Linked DNA regions of Caenorhabditis elegans. The protein of the gene in region 1 purifies or fractionates together with the protein of each later gene. This does not show direct contact. Each region holds a gene or a part of one and is shown in the gene's direction. Other genes may lie near its edges. The genes, in order: chdh-1 and ccdc-149.

Region 1 (10,159 bases):
GTTATGGGAGACTTGAGAACGTATAGATTGAAAAGCATATAGGTTTGTGCACACGGCGCAACTTTTATTTTCACAGTTTACCTTTGAAAAGAACACATCTAGTAATACTTCCTTGTTTTTTCATCAAAGTGACCGTTCATTCACTCAGCGATCTCAGAGTGCACTATTCTCCCAATAGTCAATACAATGCTTTGATAATTCAAGAGAGATGTTTGCTCACTTTCCGCAACTCTTTCCGTATTCCACCTGGCTGTAGAGGTATTTCCCTCTGGAAAACGCTCAAATTTTTAATTTTTCCCGGAATTGAAACAATTCAAGATAGTGTTATCAACTTATGTGGTTGACTGACTACTTTTAAATTTCCATCTTTATTGTCTTGATCATTCATTTTTCAATTATTATTTAGTTGGAAAATAACTCTCCCATTGATCAGATCTGAAATCTCAAAAAAGTACTCTGAAATCCATTATAGTTTCCTTTCTACAAAATGGTTTTGATTACAGTTTCACAGCATATAGTTAGAAGATTGAAATTAGATACTTTATGTTTTATGAAGTTAAAGTATAAATACACATGTTTAACCAAACTGCATGATTCATATCCTTCCTCAATATAAATTAATCCACACAGGTTCCCTACATTTCCCATTCCTTGTCTATTGCCCTGCACTCTTAATTGTTCCCCATTCAACCTACGTCCTATTGTTCATTTAATGTTTTCATTCAAACATTTCTTACCACGTGACAATAAAACATTGTGTCCCTATTTTAGAATTTTGTTTTTTTCAAAAAACTGAACACATCAGTACTCGTTCATTTTCTACTAACCTTTTCTGTGAGTTGTTTGCAGTGTAAATAAGCGAAAATGTGTGTAGCGTTGCAGTGCTCAATAAGTCTATTTTATGCACCATAGCAACTCGCAATAGACTACAACAATGTTTTTAACGCTCAAAAATCCTTGGTTCTTTAAAACATTGAAAAATAGTAAAAATGAATATTTATAAGGCTAAATAATTTCCAACCCAAATTTGTTAGAAAAAGTGCATGTGCTTTGCATATCGATTTTCTGTAAAATAAACATTTCCTTCCAAGAACTGTTAGCTGAACGGTGCCAGCGATTTAAGATTTCAAGCTTAATTTGAAATTATATTAAATTGAGAAAACCGTACGTCTAAAAATGTTCGTACAGGTACTTCGCACTTAGTTAAGCCGTGTTCAACTCCTGTCATTTCTCATCTAACCACTCTCTTTCTCTAACACACTCTAACCATGACCAACTCCTTGAGCCCCTCATACCTTTACATTAACCAAAATGTTCATAGTAGTGGTAACAATTTTTGAAAATTATACACAATGGTACTCTTCGCTACTAACAATATTCAGTCTAACTATCAAACGAAAGCTAAAGACAATTCGGAGTATGCAGGACTCTACATCAAAGTGCACTTGCACCGAACATCACATGGGCGGGACAATTTGCTGCTGTTGCCGATCGGATGCTGAGGAAAACGAGCAGCTCACAAGTGTGATATTGAGCAGAAAACCACCGCCACAGGGTGAGTTTTTTTTGGAAAAGTTTAATATTTTTCTAATAACGTAATTAATTTCATGATAAATTGTGATTTTAATTGAAAAATATTTCAAGTATTCATGTTTGAAAAAGAGCTATACATGCGTCTAGGCCTGAAAAGTTTCACGACGGGTGCATTTCTGCGTAGGATCCGCTGCACTGTCGTAAAATGTGATGCTTTACCGTAGCTAAAAATCCTTTAATTTATTTTTTCTTTAATTTTCAAATCAAATTTCAATTCAAATCAAAAGTTGTTTTGAAAAATAATTGTATAAATGTTCAACTCGTTTCATCCGCTTGTTAATGCTGGTCATTGATCCCTCGATTAAACCGCCTGTTGTTACATAAAAATCGATATGCCAAAGACCACGCAGCCAATTTTCGAGAATCGTTTGTTTATAATATCTCACAAGAACCCACTTAAACTTTGGAATAATGGAAGGTTAGGATTTTCTTAGAATTTTAGCAACATAATAAATAATTAATTCAATAATTTCTTCCCATATTCTATTTTAAAATTATTTTACAGAACAATGTCGTGGAAATCTTCTTGTTTTCATCAATCCTAACAGTGGAACTGGAAAAAGTCTGGAGACTTTTGCGAATACAGTTGGACCGAAGTTGGATAAAAGCTTGATTCGATATGAAGTCGTTGTTACGAGTGAGTTTCAGGAAAACTAGAAAAAAAAACAAATTAATGTTTACTTTACAGCCGGGCCGAATCACGCGAGAAATGTGCTCATGACAAAAGCCGACCTTGGAAAGTTCAATGGGGTTTTGATTCTTTCTGGAGATGGTTTGGTTTTCGAGGTAACGCTTTCAAAAAACACGAAATTAGTTTAAATTCGTTGGAGGCAGTTTTTGAATTTAAAAAATTATATTATTCACCTTTCCGCCGAAATAATGCAATTTTAATTTCAAATTTGTAAATTTTCAGGCTCTCAACGGAATTCTTTGTCGTGAAGATGCATTCCGGATATTCCCAACTCTCCCAATCGGAATTGTTCCCAGCGGATCCGGAAACGGACTTTTATGTTCGGTTTTGTCGAAATACGGAACAAAAATGAACGAGAAATCTGTAATGGAAAGAGCTTTGGAAATTGCCACCTCACCAACAGCAAAGGCGGAAAGCGTAGCTTTGTATTCAGTTAAAACAGATAATCAGTCATATGCATCGTTTTTGTCAATTGGATGGGGTTTGATGGCAGATATTGACATTGACAGTGAGAAATGGAGAAAATCGCTTGGCCATCACAGATTCACTGTTATGGGATTCATTCGCAGCTGCAGTAAGATTTTAAAAAATTTAAATTATTCTAAAACTTCCAATTTTCAGATCTCCGATCTTATAAAGGACGCCTTACGTATCGTCCATACAAACCAAAAGGATTCCATCCATCGTCCAACGTTTTCAGTGTGTATGAAAAAACTACACAACAAAGGGTGATCAATTTCAAAAATATATTTTTTAAAATAGTTCTTAACATATATTTTTTAAGTATTTTTTATTAGTAACGACCCTTCCAATAATTTCTCATTTTTCTAGATTGATGATTCAAAAGTAAAAACGAATGGATCCGTGTCAGATTCCGAAGAAGAAACAATGGAGACAAAATTCCAAAATTGGACGCTGCCCGATTCAGATGAAACTTTGGCAGTTGGAAGTTCTGATTTAGAAGAAACTGTCGTAATCGAGGATAATTTTGTGAATATCTATGCAGTTACTCTTTCCCATATCGCAGCTGATGGACCATTCGCTCCAAGTGCCAAATTAGAAGATAATCGAATTCATCTTTCGTATATTCTATGGAAAGATATCGGTACACGAGTTAATATTGCTAAATATCTTTTGGCGATTGAACACGAGACTCATCTGGATCTACCCTTTGTTAAAGTTAGTGTCACCTTTTCTTTCTATTAATTCAAAACTAAATTTTCAGCACGTGGAAGTGTCGTCAATGAAACTGGAAGTTATCAGTGAAGGATCACACGTAGTACTCGATGGAGAAGTAGTCGACACGAAAACAATTGAAGTAGCATCGACAAAAAATCATATTTCCGTTTTCTCATCAACTGCCTAGAAATTAAATATCTTTTATCTTTGATTTCTAACCGGTTTTCCTTGTGTACAAACACCGATGTATAGATTTTATTTTATTTTCCCAAAGAAGTAACCTAATAACTATGTTTTAGGATTTAAAGTATATTGAAATAGCTTTTCCTCACATTTTTTGAAGTTTTTAATCTATTCAAGGGTCCCCTCTCTCACTTTTCCTCTACTTCGTTTCGTGTGCTTTCCTCATTTTTTACTTGCCTTTTCTGTGATTTATTTACTTTAAAAATTTTCTAAACGTTTAAAAATTATTTTCCTATTCTCTACTGAATTGTTTTACGTGAAAGTCAAGTTATTGGTTCTAGATACTGTTTTCAAAAAAAAAAAAGACCCACTGGAAAAAAAGTTATTTTATTTCCCATTTTGAAGATATGCTTCAAAATCATGCGGCACGATCTCTACAAAGGACCTCAAAACGATGGATAAACTGGAGAGATTCGATGAAAGAAGGCACATTTTCAGCGGATATTGCAGAAAATAAACCAACGCATATTATTGTTGGAGCTGGAAGTGCTGGCTGCGTTTTAGGTAGGAGATTTCTCTTGATTTTGGTAATTTCAGATTGAAACCAATTGTTTTTCATCATTTTTAACTTTCTTCAAAAAAGACAGAATATTGATTATTGGATTTTCATGTCGAAAAAGAGACAACCGTAGTTAAAATTTCAATTTCAATGTTATATTCAAATTGAACTTACAGCAAACCGTCTAACTGAAGATCCTTCGAATCGAGTACTTCTTATCGAAGCTGGACCAGTTGATCATAAATGGGATTGGAGAATACACATGCCAGCTGCACTTATGTATAATCTCTGTTCAGACACTTATAACTGGCATTATCACACAACTGCTCAAAAAAATTTAGGAAATCGAGTATTTTATTGGCCGAGAGGAAGGTTTGTTTCGACTTAGGTTTTTCTAATTCAATTTATTAGAAACATTTCCAGAGTATGGGGTGGAAGTTCAACACTGAATGCAATGTGCTATGTACGAGGACATGCCTACGACTATAATCGATGGGAGAAAGAAGGTGCATCAGGATGGAACTATGCAAATTGTCTACCATACTTCAAAAAAGCAGAGACTTATTCTGACGCAACCGGTCCAAATGACCCATATAGAGGAAATAATGGTCCATTATACGTTAAAAAAGGAGATGCTGAAAATCCATTGCATAAAGCTTGGTTAAATGTTGGAAAAGAACATCCGTTAGGTTGGACAAATGATATGAATGGAGAAAAACAGGAAGGAATATCTACTATGGATATGACTATTCATAATGGAGAACGGTAAGGATTCAGCGGATTTTTTAAAATATAACAATTGATCTACCATTTCTTCCTATAAATAGAAATATCACTGATACTAATTCTCAATAGTTTTTCAGCTGGTCCGCATCGAAAGCATATGTTCATCCGATTCGAAACCGTCCGAACTTGATCACATCTTCTGGAATCACTTGTACACGGGTATTATTCGACACGAACAAGGCGATCGGAATCGAATTTATTCGAAAATTGAACTTTGTCGGAACGGATTCTATCGATTCATACAGTAGAGAGAAGATTTATTGCCAAGGAGATGTTATTTTGGCTGGTGGAGCCATCAATACACCCCAATTGCTTATGCTCAGTGGAGTCGGGCCAGCTGATCATCTGAGGTCTCACGAAATTCCAATAGTTGCAAATTTACCTGGTACGTATTCTAGTACAACTTGCTAGATTGTTTAAAATTTGCAAATTTTGTTATCAAACTACAATGATTCAAAAAATTATTCCAGGAGTTGGTCAGAATCTTCAAGATCATCTTGAGATCTATGTTCAACAAGAATCAACGCAACCCGTAACCCTATACAACAAAAGTTCATGGAAGTTCCCACACAATATGATCAAAATCGGGCTCGAATGGTTCACAAATCGAACAGGACTAGGTGCATCATCTCATTTGGAAACTGGTGGATTTGCAAGATCAGATGATACGGTTACACATCCTGATATTCAATTCCACTTTTTACCATCTACAGTACACGATGATGGTAGAACCAATGGAACTTGTCATGGTTATCAGGTAATAAATTATAACTTTTATATCAATCTTAATTGCAATTTACAGGTCCATGTTGGTCCAATGCGGTCTCAATCGAAAGGATACATAATGTTACAAGCCAAGGATCCTCGCCGTGCTCCAATCATCAATCCGAACTATATGGAAGAAGATTCAGATTGGCGAGAATTCCGTAAATGTATCCGAGTGTCTCGTGAACTTTTCGCATCAAAAGCGTTTGACGAATTCAGAGGAAAGGAGTTGGCTCCTGGACCAGATTGCCAATCAGATGCTGATATTGATCGATTTGTTAAAGAAAAAGCAGCATCAGCATATCATCCATCATGTACTTGTAAAATGGGATCAGAAAATGATAAAATGGCAGTTGTTAATCCAGAAACGATGGGAGTATACGGAACAGAAAATTTGAAAGTAAGGAATCAATGAAATTCTCACACTTCGTGCATTCATTATATTTCAGGTCGTCGACGCAAGTGTAATGCCATCAATTGTTAGTGGAAACTTGAACGCCCCAGTGATAATGATGGCAGAACGAGCAGCGGATCTGATAAAACACAAAAAACAACTACTTCCACCGTCAGATGCAAATGTTTGGCACCATAACTAGGATTTTTATTTATTTTAATAAAGTTATTTAGATTCTGAATAATTCGAACTGTGGGGTTGAAAGACGTACACGTATAATTAAGCAATTACCTAACTATTATATAAATGCAGTGCTCTGAAAATGTGTATTGACGCCAAAATTATCCCGTTGCGAAAACTACAGTAATACTTTAAACCACTAAATACTGTAAACAGCACTTGTGTCGATTTATTGGTTCGATTTTTGAAATGAATTTTTTTCGAATAGTGACATTCCATTTTCCTTACAATTAGTTTCTTCGTATTATGGTAATCCTACAGTACCATACAGTACCTCGACATCATCTTTCCATCCATTATCTCTTTAAAAATCAAAATTTCACAGTTCCGGAGAGTACAGTAATCCTACCGTTTTCCTACAGTAATCCCACAGGATTTTATACAGTACCATACTCTCTACTATCACCAACTTACTATACCTTCTAGAGAAAACCTTTTTCAAATTAAAGCACAAACTTCCAATACAACAGACAGATAATTAAAAAGAAAGACTCCACGTCATTAATAAACACGTGAACTTTGCGGTGGCCACTGCCACGTTGTCGCGACGCCATCTACCGACCAGGGGTGCGCATGGGTCAAAAAGAGTCGACCCGCTCCAACTTTGAGCAAGTAGTACTGACGAAAACAAGTTATTTTTTTCTCTCATTATTTTTCTTTATATTTTTTATTTATATTATAATGTATTATTTATCTTTTCAGGGAATACGTACGAAATGCCTTCCCATCGACCAAAGATCAGGAAACTCCTAGCAGAATATGGTTTCAGTATTATTGTGTCACAACAAGGACCATTAAACAACAAGGACCATTAAAATATTTAAACCATTAAAATTATACAATTTCGAGGATTTAGATGCAAATACCTAAAAATGGGCGGGACTTACCTTACCTAGTTCAAATTAAAGTCGCAAACTTTTCTCAGAACATTGTGATAATCTCGTGAAATTTTGATCCTTCACAAATTAAAATTAACACCTGTGAAGTACACATACTTGCTAATTTCATATTAAAAAACATTAGGTTATGATATTCTATATCTATATCTACAGGCCAGGATTTACCGTAAAGCATTCAGCTTTTTTTCAGGCGACCGGAATATGAAAATTACTATCTTTGGCACGTCAGATGCAATTGCACATGCAATTCTCGAGCCCAAATTCCGTTGCAGTGGACAGTCTATATATTTGCTGGATGACTATTCATCTGAAAATATTGTAGTAATTGCAAGACCGTCTCATTCAATTGGTGGGCAAGCAGAAAATCTCAGCCAACTCACACCTACAAGCTGTTCTCTTCCAATCAAATAGTTTTATGTGGTGTGAAGAGTGACGTAAGGATTATCATAATTATTATATATAAATACCTCATAATTATCATTTTAGGAAACAACATTTTCTATCCTGAAAATGGTCGAAAAGTTAGCACTCGACACAGCAACTTTCGGAAGTCGCTTCAATGACTTATTGAAAGTGCCATGCAAAACTATGAAGGCGTGGATCAGCAGTGAAGCCGACGAGCCCACCACTGAGATTGGCCCATTCACCAAAGAAAAATTGAAGAGTAAGTTTGAGCTTGATTCCGAAGATTTCTGCTTAGATCCTGGATTCATTTCTTTCTGACCTCTAAATAAAACCTCAAATGAAATTAACAGTTTATTATATTTTACTTTTTTTTTCTCAAAATTCATATTTTGTCATATATTCATGGTTTTCAGACGGCTATCAACAAGGCCAAAATGGCGACGTCCATCACGGAGCCGAATCTCTCTTTTTGGCTTGAATCATTGACGGAGCTTCTAGCAATTCCTTGTCACTCGATTGTGAAGGATCTGTCAAAAGAGGCAATGGTCATTTGCCCGGTCTTCCGAATTTCAAGGACTTTCACAAATTATGGTCATGTGCTATACGTGTCACAGAAGCCACTCGGGACGAAACCGATGAAATTAACAATTACGTTATGCACGATTATGAAGCCAGAGACTCCCGTGGTGCCTGAAGTAAGCTATTGTATTTTCCTACAATGGCATTGTTCTTACTATTAGAAATTGATTTTTTCGGCTATCATCTAAATTTTTCTTCAATTGTTAAAAGTTAATTCATTCAAAAATATTATGTTTTTTTACGATTATGTATTGTAATTAATAAAATATTCTTCTCGAAATTCTCGTCACGGAAATTTGAGCCATAGAGACCCGTTCCTTTCATCTGAACAAAAAATGTGTATCTTTTAAATTCAATATTGCTACTCACACTGCATAAGCCGTCTTGAATCATGAAGTCCTTGACGGCACGATGCAATGTGCACATGAACAGTTCGGTGATAATGATGACAGAACGAGTAGTGGATCTAATCAAACACAAGAAACAACAACTTCCATCGCCAGTTGCAAACCATAAATTAGATTTTTATTTATTTAAAAAAATTTATTTAGATTATGATTAATTCTCGAACACTAGGCATTGAAGGCTAGAAGTTGATTATTTACAAGTATAATTAAATAATTAGCTAGTTTAGATACCGGTAATAATAGTGGAATGGGATATCGAAGTGAAAACTTAATAGAAAATAACGAGGATCATCGATAATGATAACAAAACTTGCAGAGTAGCTGATGAGTTTTCAGATTCGGTAGAGGTGGTTGTTGTTGGAGCTATAGTATTTCTAATTGTCATTTCAGGTACATGATTGATTGTTGATGGACTCTGACGAGTTGTTGAAGTAGATACTGTCATGGGTTCCAGGCGATCTGTTAATTTTTTTGATTGATTTTCAACCTATAACGTCAACTCACCATGAACCACGTTTTTAACTCCAAAAGCAAGCTCATTGGTTGGCTGTGACGGTTGCTCAAATGTGACATTGACAACTTCTGCCAATTTGAGTTTCTCGACCCCTCTGTTGATTCCCTGGAAGTTGGAACCCATTTGACTATCCCCTTTTGACCAGACAATCAGGATTTCATTTGGTCCCAATGGATGATCGGTTGGTTCAAATTCTGAAATATGAATTAGCTACGTCGTATAAGTTTAACGTACCTCTAAGCTCTCTCCTGAACATAACAATTGATCTACCATCTTGTTGTGTTCCATAAGCAGCTGATAAACTCATTTCACCGTCATACCAATAATCTTCAAGAGGAGTTGAACGATCACGAGAATAGAAGTCGGAAATAAAAAGTCTGTCGTTCCTAACTGAAGCCATTATAACATCAACACAATCCATTGGGTGTAAGGAGGATTTAAGACCAAGCTCAGCTGAAACACACACATTATAAAATCAAACTTAATTCTAAAATCTTACTGAATCCATTATTTTTTGGCATTACAGGTTTGGCTACAAACTCTCTTCGTGCAATTTCATCCATTTCATTGGATCTTCCACGTGTATCCTCAAGAATCGGGAATAATCGGCAAGATGTGCTCAATTCAGTTGGCCTCCATCCAATTGATAACCAATTTTTTGTATCGAAATCCATAATAACCTCAACTTCATTATCGACACGTCGTGAATAAATACGATCATTGGCAGAAAGATCATGTCGTTGATAGCATCTCGGATTGAACATTCCATATAGTGGAAGATCAGCAGCGATTGGTTCATCATACGCAAAACAATGATCGTTTTGAGAATTGAATTCTGTAATTTTAATTTGGTCAACAACCACTTCACTGTACACCATGTGGTTATTATATTGAAAACTACTTCACAAAGTGTAACCTTTTTAGATAAGAATAAAAAGAGCTCACTCTGATCACAACGCTGACCG
Region 2 (9,505 bases), on another chromosome or scaffold:
ATAAAAAGGAAAAAAACGTCGAAGAAATCAATCAAAAGCATAATTATGTGCCAGCTCATTCGAATGTGGCTGTTTCCGATAAAGAGCCGATAAGCCGTCATCACAACTTTGTGCCGCTTGCAACCAAAACTGTAGAAGAGACGCGTCACTCTAACGACTTAAGTCATCATCACTATATGCCACTGCCAGCAAAAAGGGAAGAGGGAAAGACGGCAGCGGGTGATAAGGTCGGCTACGAACATCACTATTACCCGTTGGCATCGAATACTGAACGAGTTTCGGTTCACAAAGGACAAGAGCACCACTACGTGCCTCTTATTGCTAAACCAACGGAGAGTCACGCTTCCAAAATTGTCATTCAGCATCAATATATTCCGCTAGCTATGAGACATCAAAGTGTACCGAGACTTCCTTCGGAGCACAATTATATTCCGATTGCTATTCATGACGATTCGCATCAAAAAGTCGATTTGACGAACCATCAATATTTGCCACCTATTGTTAACGCCGAACAGAAAGAAGCTGTTAAGTTGTATGAGCATCAATATGTTCCACTTCCGCCCAAAAAGGATAGTTTCGCGGTAAGAAAACTTGAAGGAAAAGACCACCATTATGTTCCTCTTGTCCAGAACTACTCATCAAAAGCTCCACAACTTCCACGAGAACATCATTACTATCCGGCACCTGTTCGATCAGTAGAGCATCATCAAAAACATGTTCATGAGCAACATAACTATATTCCTGCAGTCCATCATCATGAAACAAATCATCAACTTGATCGTCAACATGGATATATTCCAGTCGCTGCAAAACACGAAGCAAAGAAAAATGTACTCTATGAGCATCAGTACATTCCGCCAATCACGAGAACGGAGCAAACGAATGGTTATGATAGAAGACACAATTATGTTCCGGTTGGAAAAACTGCAAAAGCGACAACGACAGACATCCACGTGCATCAGGATCATCAATATGTACCGCAAGCCAGCCCAAGGAAAACTATTTCGGAGGTGAATCGCTCTCACAATTACATTCCAGCCCTTCCTCCCAAAGAGCACCAATCCCGGCATGAGCACTATCAGTCTCATTCTTACCTTCCCCCTAGTCAAAAATCTACCTCACATCAATCTCCGCCTAAACTCATCAACCACTCTTTTGTCCCTCAGATTCCACACAAGACCAAGGATAATCAAGTTGTTCATGAGCATGGATATGTGCCACCTGTCAAAAAATCGGATTTAAAAACCTCTGTCGATCATTCCAAGCATGAATATTTGCCATCAGTGGTGCACACGGAGTCCAAGGATGATTTCAAACATTCGAAACATGGATATGTTCCATCATTGGAACACTCACAGAGAATTGAACGAGGCGTCGTTTCCACCCACAACTACGTGCCTCCTGTCACTAAGATCATCGAAAAAAACGCCTCCGATCCCACAAAGCATGGATATCTCCCACAATCGAAGCGTTCAAAGAGTAGTGATCAAATTGATCATTCAAAGCATGGCTTCCTTCCATCCATCAAACATCAGGAAGCTCAAGATCATGCAGATCACTCAAGACATGGGTATGTTCCACCAACGAAAAAGGCCCACAACGATTATTGGGGATTTGAGCGAGACCATCATTATGTTCCGGACACACTGAAAAAGGATAAGATCAAACAGATTCATCGTGAGCACAATTTTGTCCCATCAGTTGTTCCAGCCAAGCCCGATGAAAAATTCGAAGGACAAGATCACCACTACGTGCCGTCTGTTAGAAAAACAACCGGAATCACTTCTGAGATCGAACATCGCCACAATTTCGTTGAGAAGATTCCTTCTAAACACGAAACTCCAAAACTACCAGAAACTCATAACTACGTGCCAACTGTTCACAAATCCCAAAATTTGGACCGAAGCACATTGGAGAAGCACAATTACGTCCCCACTTACCAAAAGAAATTTGAGCCTCGTCGAACTGATATACGTCATCACAACTATGTGCCAACAATTGTCAAACCACATGAACATCGTGATAACTTTGATCACCATCATTACGTTCCACAAATTGCAAAACCTTCAGATGTGAAACTAAGTGACTATGACAAGCACCATTACGTTCCACCAGTTTTCGAAAAGAGTGTTGTCAATCAAGTTGAGTACGAACACAAGTACACTCCAACTGTTGTCAAGAGTACTGAACCAAGAATTTTGAATCACACGCAACATCATTACACTCCATCTCATCAAATTGTATCCAATACATATGACGATATCGACACTCATCATGGATATTTGCCTCAAATTCCGAGGAAAGAAACCGCAGCTCGTGTTCCATTGGGTCATCATTTTGTGCCACAAATTCCACACAAAGAAGTGGCTCCTGACTACGATCATCATCACCACTATGTGCCATCTGTTCAGCCCAAAGCGCCAACTCCAGCCGTAGATTACCAACATCACTATTTGCCTTCAGTCAAGAAACCAACTAGCACTACCACTGATATGATTCGACAACAAAGGAAAAAAATTCTGAAGAGCACTGATGATGATGAAGATCAAGAAAATCAGTATGTGGCGAAACCACCAGTCTACACAAATGCATTCGTAAAACCGTACAAGACAATTCCTGATGAACCAACAAACTACATGCTCAAAAATGGAAAATCTCGTAACAATGGCATTCCTGAGGAGCCATCGCAACCAGTTCCCAAACCTCGCTCTTTCACCTCTCCTCAGCCTGATTATTAGATATGCCAGATTTCTTAAATTTATTTTTTAACTTAGTACTTTTTTCTCATTTTTTGAAACTTGACTTCCAAATCTCTTTTGCCCAATTTCCCCATCCCCCATCTATAATATCATTAGGTATGCCAACTTACATCCGGCGTTATCAGTAAACAAAAAATTGCAGAAAGTGAGTGAGCACGTGCAGTTGGGCGGTTCCCGGAAGTCGACAATCCAAAGTGGACATCATCACCACCATCATCATGATCACGAGAATCGCAACGATGTTCCATCGAGACCATCAAGTGTTGCTAATTATGTCAAGGTAACATATTCTTGTAATTAGAAAATCCCATTCAATCACATTCCGGAACACACGACATAAAAGCTCACTTATTATTTTCAGCACCAGCCACATTCTCGCACCTCGACGGTGAGCACTGTTCGTGGAGCTCCAGTTCAACGTAAGTATATTTTGGAATTTGTTTTTTGTACAACGTTGGAATTTCTAGATGTTTGTTTAGATAACACTTAATACACATAACATTCTGATATTGATGATACCTTCATTTTTTAGGTGTCAATCCAACTGTTCAACAGCATGTTATTTACAATCCATACGGAGACCATCAATCTGTTCGTGTCGTGAAAAATGTTCGAGAGTTTGTCAACGTTTTTGGAGCAACTCACGTTGTTCCACCACCAACTCCTCTTGCTGGAGTGCCACGACTTTCCCAAAGAAGCCCAATTTCTCATGAAACATTCCAACCGCATGATGAGTGCAACTCTGTGAAATCTTCTCGTAAAAACACATTAGTTTCGGTTGGAAAAGGAATCCAAATTAATGATGTAAAATGACTTTATTTGAAAGAAAAAAAAAATTGAGTTTTAAGGCTCCACGCAAATCAACTTGTTCATCTGTTGCCTCTTCTCGCTCGTCATCTGTCTCCACTGTTTCTGCTCCAATTCTTGTTGGTGGAAATATTGCTGTTCCAACTCCGGTAATTTTGTTTTTTTTTCAATAACTTAGTAACTTAATTTGTTCAGAGATCCCGCAATGCTACTCTCACACAAGAAAACGTCCACGAGCACGACGTAAGTTTACAAAGTTGAACAATAATTTATTTTGTTTTATTTTTAGCAATATGACGATTTGATTCATGTTGCTGATATGCGCAAGCTTTTTGAAAACTATGGACCTGCTCATCTTCCGGAATACGCGTCGAACCCATCTGCTTACATTCACTAATTCTATTTGTATTATCTTAACTGCAATCCAACTTTTTAAATGTTTTATTCTAAACCTGTGATAGCTAGTCATTTTCTGTTATTTTTGACACTTTTTGTACTTATTCTGGGGTAGTTGGGCTTCTTTTTCTTATTTTCTCTTATTTCGTCAAGTGGTAAACTTAATAAATTTATTTTCACTAAACTTCGTTGTTTGGAAAAGAAGCTTCAAGATATCATACAGCAGAAATTCATTTCGTACTCGAAAGTTTATGTTCGCCCAACTTTTTCAATGCATGAAAGGCGGTCATGGAAAACGTGTGCGAGGAGCAGTGAGGCCCTCTCTTCCCCCTCTGTGCATATCGATTTTTGTCCTTATTTAGTCTTCTAATGCTCTTTGAGCTGTGCCATCTTCATGAAAGAAAATAATAATGCGGAGATTCTCGAGCTCAAGAAACAAGTAAGAACTTTTTATTAAAAAATTATATATTTTTTTTGCAAAATCGTTTTCTGACTATAACTATGTTTAATACATAATTATAGTTTACCGCTCTCCAACAAAAATGCGGTGCGAAAACAGACACGATCGTGAGACTCGGACAAGATTTGGAGAAATCTGAGAATGAGAAAAAGGGACTTGCGGCCAGAGTCGAAACACTAGAACGAAATTTGGAAAGATCTGAAAGAGAATTGCAGTTAGTATGTGCGGTAAGTCAACCTTCATTAAATAAATCATTATCAAATTTTTAACGAATTTTAATTTAGTGTCAGAACGACATGAAAATAAAATTCGGAACAGAGCGACAGGATTTGATAGAAGATATTGAAAAGTACAAGCGAGAAAATCAACAATTAAGGACCGACAGGCAAGAATTGTTGGACCAAAAAGCTGACTTGAAAAAAGACTGCAAAACGTTTCGACAGACAATTGCTCAGTTTGAGGTAAACATTTGAATATTTACAGAATATCGAGAAACATTTCTACTTATTTCATTTCGTTTTTTTTTAATTTAAAATGATTATATTGAGAGATTTATTGCAACAGAAACAAAAAATCTTGACAAAAAAACGAGTTTATTTCATAAAATTGATTCATTCGTTTTTCAGGTACAAATACCTTTTAATCTTTTTAAAAAGTTCATACATAATAATATGAGACTTTGCAGCAAAGTCTAATATTATTATGTAGCATAAATTTAATTTATAGCCATTATATTGTTTTATAAACAATCTTCGATAAAAACATTTTGCGAAATTTGTACTTAATTTTTTAAAATTAGCTTCAATGTTTATGGCTTTTAGGTAGAAAAAATGGGAGGACCGGTTCGAAATTCATTTTCAACGGAAAATGACGAAGTTTCAAAGCTGGAAGCTCATGAAAAACTTCAGGCAAAGGTTTGTTCCGTTTCAATTTGGTTTGCCATAATTGTTTTTCAGTGCAAAGGTCTTGAATCGGATCTCCGGTCTATGCTTGGAATCAAAGAAGAGCTGCTCATGGAACGCGACGAAATGCAGCGGAAGGTAGCAAGATTGAGCAACGAGTTGAGTTATTTGTTGAATGGAGATCCGAGAAGGGTAAGTCAAGTATTCCCTTTTTTATACACCTGGTATTCGGATTGTTTTTGAGTTGAATTCTAATTGGCGTATTTAGGTGGCCGAAGATTTGGACAGTTTAGTGGCCGAAAACCGGTTTTTGAAAGCCAAACTAAACACTGCAGAAGAAGAGAGTGAGTCCATAAAAATGACACTTGCCAAATACAAACAAATGGCCGAAGCTGTAAATGTACAGGTAACTTTTTGGAATCATTATCGCCTATGTGAAAATTTTATTTCAAGACGATGGTGAATAGATCTCCAAAGGCTGGCGAAGGAGATGACAAACCAAGTGTAGCAGTCATCAATATGAAACAAAGTGAGACTTTTTGGACACAGTTTTTGTACTTCGTATTCCATTATTTTCCGGCATATTTCAGTTCGTGAGTTGCTAGCTTCTCATGCCATCGAACTCGTCGAGTCCGATTATCGTGCGATAACAACTATTCTGCTCGATTTGTGCAATGATAAGCAAATGGCGTTGGCACACTCACGTCGTGCTAACAAGTGGGAGTCATACAACGTTTCAATAAGGAATACTGTTTTTTTTTCAGAGTACTGGGAATGAGATTACATGAAGTTGAATCAAAGCTTGCTGTATTAGATATAAAGTCAAGAAGTTCAAGTCCGAGGCATGAACTCCCTCGAGATGAAGACATTGAACTGGTAGTCCCAAAGGCAGTGGCAAGTACATCGAGTAAATGAATAAATCGTTTAAATGTCAACCTTTTCCAAACATCTCACCATTTATTTACAAAAAAACAACTATAAAACAAAAAAGTTAAATTATAATTTGATTGGGAATCTTCACGTTCGTAATAGCGGGCAGGGTGTGGCAAGAAGCACGTCTTGTGTTCGTCGCCACGTTTCACATGCTTTCAGATTAAAATAACACGAGTTTCGGTATATGTTCTCATGTTGGTCACAAATAACAGACAACTCATCTGTACATCCAGCGGGACAGCATTTTCCTGAAAACAAGTAGTTCAATAGTTGTATTGAAGTAACAAGAAAACAAACCTTGGTAGTCCAGGGTTAACGTTGTGTTTTGAGTATGAATCTTGTCAAATATACACTTTGAGTTATGAAAGTGACAAAGAGAATCATGAGTTCGACCTCTTGAGTCACATACCGGCTGTCCGGTTTTTGGGCACGAAGCTAATGCACAACACTCTCCTGAAAAGTTGCATCTGTTTGAAATTTTGAAATTTATTTTTTTATTTAAGGTGATTCATTATAATCAAATTGTCAGGTATATGTACATGTTCCATTTTAAACATGTGTATTCAATGAGTTAATATTGAGTACACGAAAAATTTCAACTTCATTTTTTTTGCTCTTTTTTTTTGCTGTTGTTGGTTTGAAAAAACTTTAATATACCTGTATGAACAATGTTTAGAGTCTTCTGAGATATGGTTTGTGCCATACATCTTCTTTGTTGATAAACACAATGATTCATATGAGTTTGACCCTCTGAATCACAAACTGCTCCAGAACTTTCACACTCTCCTTTTGGGAGAAGACAACACTCTCCTGAATAGGCAATGCTGAGCGTTTTGTTTACTCGTTCTGCTTCACATTGTGCAATTCTGAAAGTGTCAGTATTTGCGGTCACAGAAAATAGGACAATATATGAGCCTACCTGAATCTGCAAATGTTCGGATGTGTAATTGTTCCGTCGCAAACTGGGGTTTTATCTTCATCACATGGCTGGTTACAGCATTGTCCCTTTAATTAATGTAACTAATCTGATTTAAAGTTAAAAAAAAAATAATATTTTTGTCCTTATAATGGCATTGGAAACCTTTCGTTCAAAAATTTATTTCAGAGTTTACCTGATAGGAAACTTGAATGGTTTTCTTGTTCTTTTTCATCTGAATGCATGCATTTTGATCCATGAGACACATATTCGCATGGGTTACTCCTTCAGTATCACAAACTGGTGAGAAGACAGAAATGTCGCAATTTTCGATTCTACAGCATTCTCCTGAAATTAATATTTTTATTTGAAACTAGAAAAATTGCAAACCGTCGTAATCTTTCACCAGTTTATCTCCAGTTGTCACATTATTTTCTACAAGACATCGAATTTTATCTAGTTCACACTCGTTCACAATGTTCTGCCCATTTGATGCACAAACTGGGCTGTATTCTTTTGGACACGCGTTGTTACATTCCTTGACTTCATTGCAAACTTCAAATTTGTCAATTGTAAGAACATCCCCAAATGTTCGTTCGGCAATACATCTTTTGACTCCGAAATGGCATATGTTCTGATGAGTACTTCCTTTACTATCACAAACTGGGCTGAAATCGGACGGACAGTTGGTATCACAACACATTCCGGTGTAAGCAACTTCAATCGTCGAGCTGAAACTCTGATCATCTATATTTGAAAAACTATCAAACTTCATTACTTCGCCGATTCACAAATCTCTTTCTGAAGGGAGCATGCGTTGGTAAAAGTAACTCCGTTAGTTCCACATAGAGGATCATATGAGTTGTCACATTCCATAGAACAATTAAAAGTATTTTCTCTTTTGAATTCTATGTTTGGTTTTTGGAAATTTCGATTGCTTGAAAAGTCATCGGTTAGCATATCTCTGAAACAAGATCTGCATTTCAATTTTTCATAATTTTCCTACTTTTCGCAAATCCCTTGTGAAACAACGACAAGCTTTGGTTGATCTAATTTCTTCAGCTTGCAGTTTTCGATGTTTAGTTCGCATTCTGTCAAAAACGTAGCTCCACTATCAGTGCAGACTGGATCCGGTTTTTCAGTATCGCATGACTCAACAGGAGGGCAACATACTCCAATCTGAATATCAAAAACAATTGATGAAACAATTTCTTTCCTAACTTACATATTGAACAGTTAGGTTCACACCGTATCCGCGCTCAAAAATGCAAGACAACATTTGATATTCACACAGTGATTTTGTAGATTGGTCTTCCAAGCAAACAAAAGACTCATCCGGGGAATTTTCTGCTGGGAGAGCACATGGAGAATCTAGACATTCGCTGCATTTTCCTGAATTCAACTATTTGAATGTTTTTTTTTCCAAAAAGTGTAACCTTTGAATAAAACTTCTAATTCAGAATCCAAACATTTCTGTTTTCTAAACTGACATAGATTTTCATAAGTGGAAAAATCAGATGCACAAATAGGGTGTTTATCATCAGTGCACGGCATTTGGCATGCTTCCTTTGAAATACAGTTCTCTTCAGTAGCAATGTGAATTTGATGTCCTTTGCTAGCAGCAATGCAGCGAGAGTAGGTAAACTCGCACAGATTTCTGAAATAGTGAAAATGCTGTTTCAATAAAATTATTAATGTGTTTATTGAAATTGTTGGACTGATTTTGTACAAGAAACTCATCAAGAATTACTCTTGAAGTATTGGCTACTGTGTAAAAGCTGTATACAAACATTTTATATGGTAAGTTAAAACCTGATTTTAAACAATTAGTTAAGGTGATAATTTGTGGTACATCTACCCCATAAGATTCAACACATTTTTCAGTGAATATGCATTTTTCCAATGACATTTTGAACAATAATTCGTAATGTTTCAACCCCATTTCCAAAATTTGATTTGACAAAAAGTGTGATGATATTCCAATAAAATTTCAACGAGATAGTTGTAATTGCTTACCCATGCAAATTTCCTGCCGAGTCGCATACCGGTTGTCCATCTGTTGGGCAATTAGGTTTTGGACAATCGAAGAAAGCTACGTCAAGTGGTGTTGTGGTTTCGATTTCTATCTCCAAAATGGATTTTGTCGTTGGGTCCGGAAGCGTTGAAAATGTGACTGTTGGTACTTTAATTGTCGTTGTCACGATTGTTGATGAGGGTGATGGAGTGCTTGTGGTACTTTTCTTAAAAACAATTTTTCGATTTTGACGATTTTTTTCACTTACCAAGACTTTCTCAAATGCGCTTACAATGAATGTAGTTTTTTCAGATGCAA

The links.
Region 2: the proteins of chdh-1 (region 1) and ccdc-149 fractionate together in Caenorhabditis elegans (co-fractionation; one large-scale study listed by BioGRID). This does not show direct contact.

Annotation. Positions count from the first base shown.
Region 1 is NC_003280.10:8,692,821-8,702,979, reverse strand, and holds chdh-1 (Glucose-methanol-choline oxidoreductase N-terminal domain-containing protein), read left to right. Parts: upstream 1-4,051; 5' UTR 4,052-4,053; coding exon 4,054-4,210; intron 4,211-4,381; coding exon 4,382-4,577; intron 4,578-4,628; coding exon 4,629-4,970; intron 4,971-5,068; coding exon 5,069-5,376; intron 5,377-5,461; coding exon 5,462-5,748; intron 5,749-5,793; coding exon 5,794-6,156; intron 6,157-6,205; coding exon 6,206-6,352; 3' UTR 6,353-6,389; downstream 6,390-10,159. Other genes in the region: sphk-1 (Sphingosine kinase 1), read left to right, coding at 1,312-1,555, 2,099-2,230, 2,282-2,379, 2,507-2,858, 2,906-3,012, 3,116-3,463, 3,510-3,650; C34C6.10 (Transposase), read left to right, coding at 7,800-7,953, 8,108-8,172; C34C6.3 (EGF-like domain-containing protein), read right to left, coding at 8,949-9,139, 9,185-9,388, 9,429-9,647, 9,694-10,029, 10,140-10,159.
Region 2 is NC_003284.9:11,506,196-11,515,700, reverse strand, and holds ccdc-149 (Coiled-coil domain-containing protein 149), read left to right. Parts: upstream 1-4,249; 5' UTR 4,250-4,356; coding exon 4,357-4,401; intron 4,402-4,484; coding exon 4,485-4,649; intron 4,650-4,706; coding exon 4,707-4,883; intron 4,884-5,243; coding exon 5,244-5,336; intron 5,337-5,378; coding exon 5,379-5,516; intron 5,517-5,592; coding exon 5,593-5,730; intron 5,731-5,777; coding exon 5,778-5,853; intron 5,854-5,914; coding exon 5,915-6,041; intron 6,042-6,088; coding exon 6,089-6,239; 3' UTR 6,240-6,259; downstream 6,260-9,505. Other genes in the region: hpo-34 (ZM domain-containing protein), read left to right, coding at 1-2,738; F29G6.1 (Kazal-like domain-containing protein), read right to left, coding at 6,342-6,505, 6,555-6,710, 6,915-7,123, 7,177-7,262, 7,370-7,521, 7,564-7,904, 7,952-8,137, 8,180-8,352 and 4 more.